Linked DNA regions of Arabidopsis thaliana. The protein of the gene in region 3 binds, or shares a complex with, the protein of the main gene of each other region. Each region holds a gene or a part of one and is shown on either strand. Other genes may lie near its edges.

Evidence for each region. Proteins that work in one complex are often made in the same cells at the same time.
Region 1: SERAT2;1 (region 3) and OASC share a complex: the UniProt entries of both Arabidopsis thaliana proteins name them as parts of the cysteine synthase complex.
Region 2: SERAT2;1 (region 3) and OASA1 share a complex: the UniProt entries of both Arabidopsis thaliana proteins name them as parts of the cysteine synthase complex.

The regions. Positions count from the first base shown.
Region 1 is NC_003074.8:22,071,332-22,077,086, reverse strand, and holds OASC (O-acetylserine (thiol) lyase), read left to right. Parts: upstream 1-1,670; 5' UTR 1,671-1,741; coding exon 1,742-2,098; intron 2,099-2,258; coding exon 2,259-2,368; intron 2,369-2,454; coding exon 2,455-2,512; intron 2,513-2,642; coding exon 2,643-2,906; intron 2,907-3,168; coding exon 3,169-3,306; intron 3,307-3,433; coding exon 3,434-3,485; intron 3,486-3,584; coding exon 3,585-3,664; intron 3,665-3,815; coding exon 3,816-3,875; intron 3,876-3,996; coding exon 3,997-4,077; coding exon of another isoform or gene 4,078-4,090; intron 4,091-4,326; coding exon 4,327-4,413; coding exon of another isoform or gene 4,414-4,426; exon of another isoform or gene 4,427-4,823; intron 4,824-4,953; coding exon 4,954-4,968; 3' UTR 4,969-5,139; downstream 5,140-5,755. Other genes in the region: AT3G59750 (Concanavalin A-like lectin protein kinase family protein), read left to right, coding at 5,266-5,703. UniProt on the Arabidopsis thaliana protein: Acts as a cysteine synthase. Plays a role in the sulfide detoxification in mitochondria.
Region 2 is NC_003075.7:8,517,344-8,522,456, forward strand, and holds OASA1 (O-acetylserine (thiol) lyase (OAS-TL)), read right to left. Parts: upstream 3,254-5,113; 5' UTR 2,989-3,253; exon of another isoform or gene 2,794-2,988; intron 2,724-2,793; exon of another isoform or gene 2,721-2,723; 5' UTR 2,708-2,720; coding exon 2,675-2,707; intron 2,588-2,674; coding exon 2,478-2,587; intron 2,391-2,477; coding exon 2,333-2,390; intron 2,253-2,332; coding exon 1,989-2,252; intron 1,898-1,988; coding exon 1,760-1,897; intron 1,663-1,759; coding exon 1,611-1,662; intron 1,482-1,610; coding exon 1,402-1,481; intron 1,295-1,401; coding exon 1,235-1,294; intron 1,148-1,234; coding exon 1,067-1,147; intron 959-1,066; coding exon 866-958; 3' UTR 617-865; downstream 1-616. Other genes in the region: SECE1 (secE/sec61-gamma protein transport protein), read left to right, coding at 1-438; FdC1 (2Fe-2S ferredoxin-like superfamily protein), read left to right, coding at 3,544-4,008; AT4G14900 (FRIGIDA-like protein), read right to left, coding at 4,416-4,931, 5,034-5,113. UniProt on the Arabidopsis thaliana protein: Acts as a major cysteine synthase, probably involved in maintaining organic sulfur level.
Region 3 is NC_003070.9:20,910,006-20,914,111, forward strand, and holds SERAT2;1 (serine acetyltransferase 2;1), read left to right. Parts: upstream 1-2,110; 5' UTR 2,111-2,156; coding exon of another isoform or gene 2,157-2,165; 5' UTR 2,166-2,230; coding exon of another isoform or gene 2,231-2,272; 5' UTR 2,273-2,372; coding exon 2,373-3,317; 3' UTR 3,318-3,560; downstream 3,561-4,106. Other genes in the region: AT1G55917 (uncharacterized protein), read right to left, coding at 1,120-1,144, 1,731-1,777, 1,835-1,861, 1,984-2,008, 2,043-2,053, 2,157-2,165, 2,231-2,272. UniProt on the Arabidopsis thaliana protein: Serine acetyltransferase which catalyzes the formation of O-acetyl-L-serine from acetyl-CoA and L-serine. Also displays O-acetylserine (thio1)-lyase activity in vitro. May be involved in detoxification process by mediating the production of glutathione.

The sequences.
Region 1 (5,755 bases), on a different chromosome or scaffold from region 3:
AATCGTTTGTAAACCACATTTTAGTTTAGCCAAAAACAGTCGAATACTCAAACATTATATCACTTTTTAGTTTCGTCAAATCATATTGAATAGTCGAAAAATAAACGAAATGCGTTCTCGGGTAATAAGTATTCTAGAGCAAAAATGTGATTAAAAACAATATGAGTAAAATGCATTCATGAATTATGAAGTTGCAAATTTCAACCAGCTGATGCCGACGTGTTGGATTTCAGGAAGTTGTTGGATATCAAAGACCCTTGGAGATCTTAGGGTTTAGGCTTCTAGAGGCTTTAAGCATTGTACAATTTGTAAACTTCAAAGCATTAGTCGGGGTTGTTCTTAGTCGAGTTGAATAATTAGGCTTAATTATTCTTAATTGTTCTTAGTGTTAGTTCTTTTTGTCTTCACGGGCGGCTGATAAGAAATAGAGGACAATTAGGCTTAATTATTCATTCAGGTAGAAAATGTCGGGGTTGTTCATTCAGGGGTTGTTCATTAAACTTAATTCTCCTTAGTCGGGGTTGTTCATTCAGGTAGAATATGTCAAGTAAGTTCCGAGATAATACTTGTTAAAGAGTTTATTATCAATAAAAATAAAGTTTAAGCACTTGTTGTTTGCAAGTGAATTCTCTGTGTTGTTTTTGTCTCTATACCTTTTAAATTATATTTTTATTGAATATATAGAGTAAATGTAAAATGGTAAGACTTTTGGTATATAGTTTTTTAAGTGAATTTGACGCATAAATTTCATGAAACTCTTACATAATATATATATCAAAATTGTATAACAAAATTTTTGTATTTTACAGACATTACTTAAAATTGCATAACTACAAACGAAAAACAACCAATTTTCTCAGACTTTTACAGTTTGTACTTCGAATGGTTAAGAAATCAGATTCTATTGATGTGGTTACTCGTTACCCAATAAAATAGTAATTGATCATAATTTAATGTTCTATTGATGTAGAAGTCTTAGAAGATACTTACTAATGGACGAAAATATCGAGAAAGAAAAAAAAAAAGGTACAACAACGGCATATTTCCGTGAGAATAATGCGCGTGGAACGATTAATGTGGCTATTCATTGCTTAACGGCCTTTTTAGTGTCGGCTCTAAGGCCCATTTTTGTCTTTGTGCAAATTTAACGGTGAATGTGTTTGTTCAGGTGTTTTACATTTTTTTTTTTTGAGTGTTGGAACGCTTTTGTTAGAGTTTATGTAGCTCGGATTAAGACAACCCTAATTGGCTAATTGCTACCGCCTACCATTGTTTGACTCAGTTATACGGGCTTAAGATGAGCTGATTCCTTATCGAACAAACCAAAACCAAATAATGTCAAATTTAAGAAGAAGAATCTTTTCAAGTTACATTTTCTCAGAAGCTTTTGGTTCCTTTGTTACTGACTATTTCCTTGTTGACCAAACCAAAACCAAACAATGTCAAATTCAAGAACAAGAATATCTAACGGCAACGGATCCAAGACGATGAATTTGACATTAAAAAAAAAAAAGTTAACCAGAAAGATTCATGCAACACTTGAGAGGTATGAAGGTACGAATAAGAACACATTCTCCACGTTCGCTTTTGGTCAGTGCACTTCACTTGGTTGGTGATTAAAAAAAAAATGTATAAAATATAAAAATGAAACTTAATATAAAGTTGAAAGCTTGGTCTAAAAATGGACCGTATCTGAAAATCCAATCGACGTCGTATTCCAAGAAAATAGAAAAGTAGGATCATGGTGGCGATGATCATGGCTTCAAGGTTTAACCGGGAAGCTAAGCTCGCATCTCAAATCTTGTCTACACTTTTGGGAAACCGAAGCTGCTACACATCCATGGCCGCCACATCTTCCTCTGCTTTACTTCTTAATCCGTTGACTTCTTCTTCTTCTTCTTCTACTCTCCGTCGTTTCAGATGCTCGCCAGAGATCTCTTCTCTCTCCTTCTCCTCCGCTTCTGATTTCTCTCTAGCGATGAAGAGGCAGAGTCGGAGTTTTGCTGATGGTTCGGAACGAGATCCGTCTGTTGTGTGTGAGGCTGTTAAGCGCGAGACTGGACCTGATGGACTCAACATCGCTGACAATGTGTCTCAGGTTAGATTTGAAATTGAAATTGGTGATCAAATTTTTGAGCTTTCCTCTAATGGGAATGTTGGCGAAAGTGTGATTGTCCATTAAAATTTGAAACTTGATTAGCTTTTTAAATAGTTCAGAATTTACTTACGTATCTCTCATTGTTCTTGGCTTGATTCAGCTCATTGGGAAAACTCCTATGGTGTACTTGAACAGTATAGCAAAAGGTTGTGTAGCAAATATTGCTGCCAAACTCGAGATCATGGAGCCATGTTGCAGTGTCAAGGATAGGTCTGTAGCTTAAGTCTTTTGTGGCTTGTTTGTATGTTTTTAGTTGAGTCCCTTCAAGTCCTAACTTTTATGTTTCACGGATTCAGGATTGGGTACAGTATGGTTACTGATGCTGAGCAAAAAGGATTTATATCACCTGGAAAGGTATCGATTATAGATTGATCAGTCTTTTGTAAAGTTTAATGGATGAGACCAGCTTTTACACACATAAAGTTGTACAATCTATAGTCTGTTATTTCTGGTGGTTAATCATGTCCTTACTGCATTGATCTAGAGTGTTCTTGTGGAACCTACAAGTGGAAACACGGGTATTGGCCTAGCATTCATCGCTGCTTCAAGGGGCTATAGACTTATCTTGACAATGCCAGCATCCATGAGTATGGAAAGAAGGGTTCTTTTAAAGGCATTTGGAGCTGAGCTTGTATTAACAGATCCTGCTAAAGGCATGACTGGAGCGGTTCAGAAGGCTGAAGAGATCTTGAAAAACACTCCTGATGCATACATGCTCCAACAGTTTGACAACCCTGCAAATCCAAAGGTTTGTGGTTTATATTTTTCCTTATTTGTGTCATGATTTGGTTTTTGCTCTAGTCATGTACCATAAGAAGAGAAATGAAATGTTAAGTTAGAGTTAACCAGAAACTCATCTGTATTTAGAGAATGCCCACAAGTGTGTAACTGAAGTGGTTTTCACTTAAACTGTACAAGCAAATTGGGAAGTGGCTGATCCTTTGAAATCGGCATGATCTTCTGTGAGGTTCTCTTGTCACGTTTGTAAACTCAAGTTTGAATATACGCAGATTCATTACGAGACTACTGGTCCTGAGATCTGGGATGATACAAAGGGCAAGGTGGATATCTTTGTTGCAGGAATTGGAACTGGTGGAACTATCACTGGTGTTGGTCGATTTATTAAAGAGAAAAATCCCAAAACGCAGGTAGATGCAAAAGTTCAATGGTTTCATTCTTAGCTGGAGTACATTTTCAGGTGTTATTTAGACAGTATTGTATGTTCATTCAAGCAATATAATTCGTAGTTAACTATTCGATGTTTACATGTACCAGGTTATTGGTGTAGAACCCACCGAAAGCGATATACTTTCTGGTGGCAAACCGGGTAAGGCTTGCCAATAGATATCAATCAGTAATTTTGTTTCCATGATTTCGAAATATGATCTTATATTCACGTATTTTGCTTTCTCTTGCATTTATACAGGACCTCACAAGATTCAAGGAATTGGAGCTGGATTTATACCTAAGAATTTGGATCAGAAAATTATGGATGAAGTCATAGCGGTATGATTTATTTTGTTGGATTCTGTATGGTTATACAATTTATCTGGTTTCCACAAAACATCCACAATTCTTGTGTCAATTTATTGCTTAAATTTTCCAATTCCTGAGACTCAAACTTCATCAATTACTATCTTCTTTTTGCGTTTACCAGATTTCAAGTGAGGAAGCTATAGAAACCGCAAAGCAACTAGCTCTTAAGGAAGGCTTGATGGTTAGTTCTTTGCAGTATTTATGATTTCTGAGTGGGAACCACACGGATGTTGTGGTGTCATGTTGCATGTGAAAGGTGGAAATTACACAAGATTCTTACGTGAATGTAATAATCTTGTCAGGTTGGTATATCATCTGGAGCTGCAGCTGCTGCTGCAATCAAGGTGGCTAAGAGACCTGAGAATGCTGGAAAACTCATAGCTGTAAGTCTTTTCGGTTTCAGTTATGTGTTATGTCTTGAAAACAAAAAGGTGGTGCAAGGGGTCTTTGTGCAACATATAGATGGATTGCTTTAGATTTCATCTTAAGATAGATTTGAGGATTATTAAAGTCTCCCGAGTCTGTGATCCAATACTAAACCAAAGAATCAACAATATAGTCACTTGGCTAGTTAGATTGTTAAATCTTCTAAGTAGGTAACTGTTAATGAATCTATGAATGCGGTTTTTCAGGTTGTTTTCCCGAGCTTCGGGGAGAGATATCTATCGACCCCGCTGTTCCAGTCTATCCGGGAAGAGGTGGAGAAAATGCAGCCTGAGGTATGAACATTAGCAACTTGGTCTACTTCTGCAAAGCTCTTTCTCCCATAATTACAGTCTGAGTGCTAAGCAATTTATTTTTATCAATAAGGCATTAGTGAATGTGGTTTGAGTTCTATTTTGGATATCCAACACTAGTCTATGTTTTACTCAACATTTTCTGTTGGAAATCCCAATGCTTAATTATATTGAATTGAACAAGATGATTGATCCCTTGTTTGTTTTTCTTGTTAACCTAAAAAATATTAACTTTCATGAGTATTTTCATATATAATGATCAACGATGATAGGTTAGTGATATAACTTTACTTTTTCATGTAGACCAATAGAAAAAAATAAAATCAGAATCTAACTCTAAAACATGTCAAAAACTTATTTTTAATACAAATTTTGTGGTCAAAACTTTGGATGTGAAACTTACTTTGTTCGATTATTGCTTTTAAAGTACTTTTTGATGTTTTCCAGTTTTCACACAGTTTTAAGATCATAGAAAAATCCCGTCTTTTTGAAATTTTGATCCATATATTTTCTAATGCTCAGAGAGTCAGCGGTTAATATTAGGATTAGGACACGCTCTACCAATCCCACGATAATTGCTTTGAATCCAATGAAGATTGGAAGATTATTATCTTAATTGCTTTACGACTTGGTTTAGGCCCCATGTGTGTGTAAATACATAAATTTTTAATATGAACAACGCGGAAATCCATGTGAACGTTCGTTTCCATTTTGTTCGACCCTACTTTTGCAGTTTGGAATTCTTTTATACTCTTACTTAACTCTCAATGAGATGATAAAAATATCTCATATGATCAATTTCTTCCCATAAGCAAAAACAAAAAAAATCCTAACATGCCTAGTGAACTCAAAGTCTTGCATATAGTTCTTGTTCTGCTCTATACTCTGTCTTCATCTACTTACAACTCCAATGGAAACTGGACCCTGGAGGGCTCTGCAGCTGACAACTCCATTGGTGACACCATTTTAACGAACACCAAGAAGCATTCCTGCGGTCAAACTTTCAACAACGAATCCATTCCCATAAAAGATTCGTCTTTCAGCTTCCACTTCCTCTTTGGAATAGTACCTGAGCATACACAGTCCGGTTCACATGGCATGTCTTTCGTTATCTCTCCTACAGCAGGCCTTCCAGGAGCTTCCTCCGATCAGTACCTCGGATTATTCAATGAAACAACCAACGGTAAATCATCAAACCACGTTATAGCTATCGAGTTAGATATACAAAAAGACCAAGAGTTCGGAGATATTGATGATAATCATGTTGCAATGGTTTGACATCTGTTGTTTCTGCTTCTGCTGGTTACTATGATGATAAAGATGG
Region 2 (5,113 bases), on a different chromosome or scaffold from region 3:
GTTTACACTGAGATAAGAACTATGACGACGAGTAATCTGAGGAAATCGGCGTGTTTTGTGGCTAAGGCTATAGAACAGAGACGAGATACAGCTGGATCTGAATCGGAATCAGAAGCGACTCCGTCACCGGCGGAAGAGAGTGGAAGCGGAGAAGATAAGGAAGTGGAGATTAGCGCGATAGGAGCAGAGATAAAAGCAGCGATGGAGCAGAGGAAAACGGCGGAGGAAGAGAAAGGGAAGAACGAGTTTCTTAGTGGAGTTGCGGAGGAAGTGAAGGAGATTGAGTGGCCGGCGTTTCAGAAAGTTCTCGGAACTACCGGCGTCGTGCTCGGTGTTATCGCTGGCTCTAGCGTCGTCTTGCTCACTGTCAATTTCCTTTTGGCTGAACTCTCTGATCGAGTGTTCATCGGAAGAGGTGTTCAAGACTTCTTCAGCTGATCCTGTGAATTGAAAATGGTAAAATTTGTGTGTACAATTTTTAGTGATTGCAATGAGAAATCGAAACATTGTTGATTTGTGTAGATGATGATAAAGAGAATTATCGGAATCACTCCTTTTGAGCATTACCTTCTTCTTATCCTAATCTTATATTTAGCCTGAAATATTGACTTGGGTTATGTTGGTTTAGTTTTGATCATGAAACAGTATGATACTTATGAACAAAGTTACATAGCAAATTTAAACTTCATTAACAAGCAAGTGGTTCACAAAAGAAACAGAGAAAATCTAGTTTGACTTTTATTGGCACACAAGAGAAGATACAGATGGAAGCAAAGACGCAATGTAACTAAAGATGAAGAGTCTCTATAGGAGAAACTGAACATCTCTTTTATTTTGGCGTCTCTTAAGAAGAAATGGAGAATGTTCAAGCCTCGAAGGTCATGGCTTCCGCTTCTTTCCTTGTCGCATCGAAAAGTACCGTTGATAGATACCTCTCCCCGAAACTCGGGAATATCGCCTGTAAAATAATTCAGTTGATTTCGTTTACATCAGAATCAGAAAGAAATCCGGGTTATGTAATCAGAGCTTATTGGCTTTGGGGTGATGATAGAATCAAAGAGCTTACCACAAATAGCTTCCCAGCGTTTTCTGGCCTCTGTGCAAGTTTAATTGCTGCAGCAGCTGCTGCACCGGATGATATTCCCACCTACAGTATAGCTTTTGTTTTTAGAAACAGAACGAAGTTGTAATTCTGATGGAGATAGCTTTTTGTTGTGAAATGTGAAACACTTACAAGAAGACCTTCTTTAAGAGCAAGCTGCCTTGCCATGTCAATGGATTCATCACTTGAAACCTGTTGAAAGCGTTACAGGAAAATGGAGAGAGTCAAGTAAGAAATGAAGCTCTCTTGCATTCAATTGTGTTTTGCTATCAGTCGATAATATCGAAAAGCAGTCTTACCTGAACAACTTCGTCAATAAGATCAACATTCAATACACTTGGTATAAAACCAGCTCCTATCCCTTGAATCTTGTGAGGACCTTGATATTTTCAGCAAACATCATGTGTTAGGAAACTCCGAGGATAAAAAATAAGACATGAGGCAAACCGAGAAACGAGGAACATGCATGCATGGTTATCGTAATAAACGCAGGGGGAACCAAAATCACCTGGCTTCCCACCGGATAGAATAGCACTTTCAACTGGCTCCACTCCATACAGCTAACAGAAGAGGAAACAAAATGAGAAACCGTGCAAAGACACACCACTTAGTCACTTAGATAACAAAGCCAGTTGTTCGAAAAGATGGAGCTCTCACCTTGACGTTTGCGTTCTGTTCTTTAAGATACTTCCCAGCACCTGTAATGGTACCACCAGTACCAATCCCAGAAACAAAGCCATCGATTTTGCCACCAGTGCCTTTCCATATCTCAGGTCCCGTAGTCTCATAGTGGATCTGCATTTGACAGTGAAATTCCATCGACTTAATATGGTTCAAAAACAGACAAAAACAGATACACTAAAGCAATAGTAAATAATAAGCATACCTTAGGGTTGGCAGGGTTCTCAAACTGCTGAAGCATGTAACCATTGGGTGTTTTCGCCAAAATCTCTTCCGCCTTTGCGATAGCTCCTTTCATGCCCTTAGCTGGGTCAGTTAAAACCAACTCAACTCCAAAAGCTAAGAGAATGATTCTTCTCTCAGTACTCATAGAAGCTGGCATTGTAATAATAAGCTTGTAGCCTTTGGCAGCTGCCGTGAATGCTAACCCAACTCCAGTGTTTCCACTTGTTGGCTCAATCAGCACACTCTAAAGAACAAACAAAAAGTCAGAAACAATGAAAACAAAAACAAAATAGTGGTTTGAAGATTCAGATAATCGAAACTGACCTCTCCTGGTTTGATAAGACCCTTCTTTTCTGCATCAGAAATCATGCTAAAACCAATCCTGCAGAAATAAACAAAGTACAAGGTCTTCACAAAACCGAAACTCGAAGCGAGAAACAACACATAGTTTCTGGACTAGAGAAGAAACCTGTCTTTGACGCTAGAGCACGGTTCCATCATCTCAAGCTTAGCAGCAACACGACCAACACATCCTTCAGCAACATTGTTCAAATACACCAATGGAGTGTTCCCAATCAACTGCCAAATAGAATCAATCAATACATGAACATGGAACAAAGCTCACTCCTTCGTGAAATGAACAGTGAAAGAACTTGAAAGCCTTACTTCAGTCACATCTTTAGCAATTCTCGAGGCCATGATTCAAGCTTCACTGCTTAAATTCACAAAAAGAGAAAAGTAAGACCAAAGGAATAAATCATCCTCAAACCAAAAACACATCATACAAAATCATCAAACATAAATCTCCAGATGTATGAGCACCAATCCAGTTATACAACACTCTTAACACCAAATCAACAGATTTAACAGCGAAATAAGCTTAAGCCCATACAATTATCCGATCCAAACAAATATAATCGAAACCGGCAGAGGAATAAGCAAGTGAATCAAAAAGTATGGGACGAGGAAGAAGATGATACCTGAATGAGAAAGTCAATAACCTTGACCCGAATCGTTTTGAAGAAAATGGAGAAAATCGGTTGTATGGAATAAAATCTTCGAATGATGAGATATATGATCTCTTTGGTGTCAGTCACATGGCACACGCTATCAATTTAGAAAAACGCGGTGGTTGGTCACCAGAATTACTACTTCTCGGTCTGATTTGGTCATATCCGTATTAAGTCCGGTTAATATTTTCCATAACTGGGGTTTGAACATTCGGTTTCTTTTTTTCAGTTAGTCCGATTTGGAGTTTTGAGTATGGAAAAATAATACTGAATTTATTTGTTCAAACTGTTTTGGAAAAAATATTTCCCTTAATTACGAATATAATTAAAATTTTAAAATTCATTTTATTAGATCTTGGTTAATTCGGTTTAATGCATTAATGAATTTCGGTTTAAGTCGGTTTTCGGTTTTTATGTCCCACCACTATCTACAACCGATGATCAACCTTATCTCCGTATTCACCACAAACAGTCATCACTCTCACTTGACACAAAAACTCTTTTGTCTCCGTCTCTCTGTCTCTCATGGCGACTCTTCCTCTCCCGACTCAAACTTCTACAATCTCTCTCCCTAAACCTTATCTCTCCAATTCCTTCTCCTTCCCACTCCGTAACGCAACACTCTCAACAACAACAAACCGCCGGAACTTTCTCACCACCGGAAGGATCATAGCTCGGGCATATAAAGTGGTGGTAGAGCACGACGGAAAGACGACTGAATTGGAAGTCGAACCAGACGAGACGATTCTATCTAAGGCTCTTGACTCTGGCCTTGACGTTCCCTACGACTGCAATCTCGGTGTTTGTATGACTTGTCCAGCGAAACTCGTGACCGGAACGGTGGATCAAAGTGGTGGGATGCTAAGTGATGATGTGGTTGAACGTGGCTACACGCTTCTATGTGCTTCGTATCCAACTTCTGATTGTCACATTAAGATGATCCCTGAGGAAGAACTCTTGTCTCTCCAGCTCGCCACTGCCAACGACTAATCATCTTCTTGATTTAGACTAAAGAAGTCTTTTTTTTGGTGTAATACGAACACTTTGTAACGAATCTTGCTATGAGACTTCGAAATCTTGATTTCAATGAGCCAATACAAACAGTGATACATAACATAATCACAGTGAAACATTCCTGGTTTAAGATGAATCTATTAAGTACTGAACTAAATTCGTTGATTGAAACATTAGGAAAGTGAATAGATATGTATAATTTAGATTAATAAACACACAAGGGTAGACTAATTCAGAACCAGAAAGAGTGAGAGTGTTAGCTACAAATGATACGATATAAAAAAAGAGAGATTACAACAAAAACGAGGTAGAGACAAAACGTAGACACCAGAGATCAGTGGTTGGTTACTTACCATCTTCTTTTTTCCTTTGTCATTGTCTAATCAGTAGTAAGCATGCTGAATATGGTGGTGGTGGTGCGGGTGAGGATGGTAAACTGGAGGGGGTGGAGCAGCCACCGGACTGCAGTAGGTACCATATGCTGTCGGATAACTGACCGGAGAGGTTTGGTAAGAACCATGAACCGCCTCGGGTGAGTATTGGTATGGAGGGCTCCTGTTGCTGTAGATGGTAGGTGGGGATGTGGTGTATGCTGGTACACCGTATTGAGGTGAGTGACTTTGGGATCTGATGAATGTTGGTGGAGGCGGTGGGAAAGAGGAGACGTAAGCGTTTGTGATACGCCCTGCTTTGGCTGGTGGCATTGGACCGCTGTAGCTTGCTCGGGTTCTCTTGTTGGCGGGAATCACGGCTGGTTTTCTCTTCTCGGTTTTGGTCTTCTCTAGCTGATCCAACCTCTTCTTGAGATTCTCGGGTGGGAATTCTTCCTCGAGTTTGTATTCTTCTATGCATTTTAAGACTGCTCTAAGTGCTGATTGCTCTTTGCGCGCCACAAGATGCTAGAAAAATACACACATACATTGGTAAGCGAGTGCAGAAGAAACAGATCCCTGCAAATGGATCCAGCAAAGAAAACGAGTAACACAAATGGAGGAAAGTACCGCAGATCGGCCAGAATTGTTGGAATCATCAGTGATTAAAGCTGTAGCTTTCTTTGCATCCCTCAGATAAGCTTTGAGCA
Region 3 (4,106 bases):
CTGCTTTGCAGAATCTTTAGCTAACCTGATAGAATTGTGCTTTTCTATCCTTGGTATTAGATCAAGCGGTCTAAACTTCCCAGTTAGACTTTGAGGTTTTTGTCTGCTCTTGTGAACAATCATTTACATACATTGTGTGTGTGTGTGTCTGCGCGTGTGAATTCAGGTACCTAGCTCTTTCTTAAATCAATTCAGACATGATTCGTGGCTGTTAAAACAAGCTACAATAACACAAATGAAGAATTGTTCAAATATCATGTGCGTTAATGTCCACGCTCCTGAAATAGATTACGTATGTTTCACTAGGACTTGTTAGAATTGTGAAACTTATAAAACTGTTCTTTTTGTTAGGCAATGGTGAGGCTATTTTACTTTCAGGTTTAAAAAACCTGTTGAAGCATTAGAGTGTTGATGAATATGAGTTTCCCTAAAGTAGATAGTATCTTCAGTCTGAAGTATATATGCATGTGTTGTTTCTGATCATAGTGTGCATCAAATGGGATGGTTCTGAAGATCTTTTGACAAACTCTTTGTCTATCAATTGATGTTTAAGGTTCAACAGCGATTCAGTTTCATAAAAGGTGATGTTTTTGCTTTTGCTTTTGTTAGCAGATGGTACCAAATCAAAAAGCTTAGGATCATATCGAGTGCCCCTTATCTGATAGAGGACTCAAGGAAGCAGATACTTAACCTCATTAAGCATCATGCTCAATCTTAGCTCCTTATTGTGCTACTAAAGTTCCAGTCTATTGGTATCCTCTTCCAATCTTATTATTTGTGTTGTTTTTTTGTGTGTCCTGACGTTTCACAGTGTCCATTCTTCATCATGTCATTCTCCATTCTTCAACACATCACAATTATATTTTAGCTAAATAGATAAAATTTATTCATATGATTTATTCTAAGAGATATTCGACATTTTTCAATATAAATTTTAGAAACCAAAAAATTGTGTAACTCGAAAGGGAAAGTTCATATATTCTTTGTGAACCAAATCGAATTCTCTAACTGAATAGTATTTTGTGTTTTCATGATTTTGAAGAGCCAAATCTACTTGACTACTGGTTGAAAATTGAAAGAAACCCTAATAAGGGACAATGATAACGAAAGATTGGGTCCTCAAACAATGGACACCACTATTCTACTGCCATTTAAAAAAAAAAGTTTAATATTTTTGAATTTTATTGTTGTTGTTTTCTCATTTCAAAACATCCAAAATTCCAACTAAGATAAGATAACTTATTTGCAGTAAGAAAAACGGATAATTTTATTTATTTGAATCCATCCATCAACATAAAGGTGTGCACAAAGGACAATATTAGGCAAATGACAATGTCACGTAATCTACGTTGCCCAATTGAATAATTTGATTATCATAAAAGTTACACAAGTTTCATTATTGAGTATTGAGTACTGAATAGAGATATCTTCAACCATAATGTAGCTTTCACAATTTCCATACGCGAAAAAAAGATATACACAAATGGAGTGTGTAGAGTAAACTAAACTCACTCTATTATGACTAACAGTCAATAACACGTACGTAGTTATCAAATTATTAATGAGTAAAAAAGTTCCAAGTTAAATTATGTATAAATTAATCATGTATTAGCATTAGATTATTAAAGTGTGAAAAAATGATTAGATTCAGACAACCTTGAAAATAAGGAGTTAAAGTCAAAGGGCGACTGCTTCACGTAACTTTAGACTTACGTCATTACTAACGTCACCTTTCTTTGAAAACCTCCTCCTTTTGAAAACCTCCTCCTTTTGGCAACTTTAATAATAGATCCAATTTTCTTGGTTTTTCCCCCCATTATTTGGAAATTATAACCATTTTACTACAAGTGCCTTCTAAATTCTACAACCCAACAAAAAAAAAAAAATTATATTACATATCATACAAAATAGCTAGATAATAAGTAGTTGATGTTATTGTTATGAAAAAGTTGGTGGCACTAAAAACATGTGATGGCTAATGACCCTTAGATATGTGTAGATAAGCAGACTAATCATGCAAAAATAAATACAAAATTGTAAACATCGTAATTGTCTGGACAATAAATCATAAAATTAAAAACATAAAACCATTTCCAAAATAAAATTGTGTATGGAAAAAAATATATATTAATCTCACTTACTATATAATTCATTACCTCCTTAATCTGCAGAAAAATGTGTATAATTAAAGAATAAAATATTTAGAGAGCGCTAATTAAACTGTAATTACTTTTTGAGATTTTTTTGGGTCAGAGTCAAAGGTCGCCGCCATCTCTCTCTGTGTATATAAGCTATGTTCATCTTCTTCACTCAACAACCATTCTCTCTTCTCTTCTTTATCTCAAACTCTTTCTTCTTCCAAATCATAAACCATGGCAACATGCATAGACACATGCCGAACCGGTAATACCCAAGACGATGATTCCCGGTTCTGTTGCATCAAGAATTTCTTTCGACCCGGTTTCTCTGTAAACCGGAAGATTCACCACACCCAAATCGAAGATGACGATGATGTCTGGATCAAGATGCTTGAAGAAGCCAAATCCGATGTTAAACAAGAACCCATTTTATCAAACTACTACTACGCTTCGATCACATCTCATCGATCTTTAGAGTCTGCTTTAGCTCACATCCTCTCCGTAAAGCTCAGCAATTTAAACCTACCAAGCAACACACTCTTCGAACTGTTCATAAGCGTTTTAGAAGAAAGCCCTGAGATCATCGAATCCACGAAGCAAGATCTTATAGCAGTCAAAGAAAGAGACCCAGCTTGTATAAGCTACGTTCATTGCTTCTTGGGCTTCAAAGGCTTCCTCGCTTGTCAAGCTCATCGAATAGCTCATACCCTCTGGAAACAGAACAGAAAAATCGTAGCTTTATTGATCCAAAACAGAGTATCAGAATCTTTCGCCGTCGATATTCATCCCGGAGCGAAGATCGGAAAAGGGATTCTTTTAGACCATGCGACGGGCGTGGTGATCGGAGAGACGGCGGTGGTTGGAGACAATGTTTCGATTCTACACGGAGTGACCTTGGGAGGAACAGGGAAACAGAGTGGTGATCGGCATCCGAAGATTGGTGATGGTGTGTTGATTGGAGCTGGGAGTTGTATATTGGGGAATATAACAATCGGTGAGGGAGCTAAGATTGGATCAGGGTCGGTGGTGGTTAAGGATGTGCCGGCGCGTACGACGGCGGTTGGAAATCCGGCGAGGTTGATTGGTGGGAAAGAGAATCCGAGAAAACATGATAAGATTCCTTGTCTGACTATGGACCAGACATCGTATTTAACCGAGTGGTCTGATTATGTGATTTAACACAAATGTGTATTTCTTTCTTTCTTGTAACTGATGATGATGAAACAAGTCTTGTCTATTTCTTAATATTTTACTATGTACTAATCAAACAAGTCTTGAAATCAAGCTCATCGATCTTTAAGAAGAAACTAGAGATTAGTTTATCTCGAGGCGAATCAAGAATGTGTACACTTTTATGGATTAATATATTTGTTAATAACATGGATTGTGAATTGGGCCTTAAAGTGGACTGTTAAATGGGCCATGTATAACCAACTCACGCCAACAATAGTTTTCTAATGGTTACTTTCGTCGCCGGAGTCGTGGAAGGTGGAGAAATGGGAAAATCTCACAGAAGAAGTAATTATGAGTCATCGTAAACTAGAAAGAAGACTAAAGGACGAGGCAGAACAAAGCATCATTACTATAGTATTGATGACGTTCTGGTTTCGTAATTAAAGTGTTTTCATTTCCCAATGCAAATGACTTTTGATATTTCTTCTCTAATAAAGAAAGTCGCTTATAAAACTCAAACATAGAGAGAAGTTTTCATTTGTTCTAAACTTATTCAAAACCCTAGTTTTTTCTTACAATCAACCATCGCTAAATCAGAAGAAACATTAGTTTCACAGGAAAAAAAAAAACTAAAAAAAAGAAACAGAGATTATAAAGAGTCCATTGGAATATAGAGAACCGAAAATCGACCGAGATCACAAAGCCAAGATATGGCAAAAAGATATGATTCTAGAAGAATTTGGAAGAATATTAATAAATGTTAATATTAGAGTTTAGGAAGTTTAATATTATCTC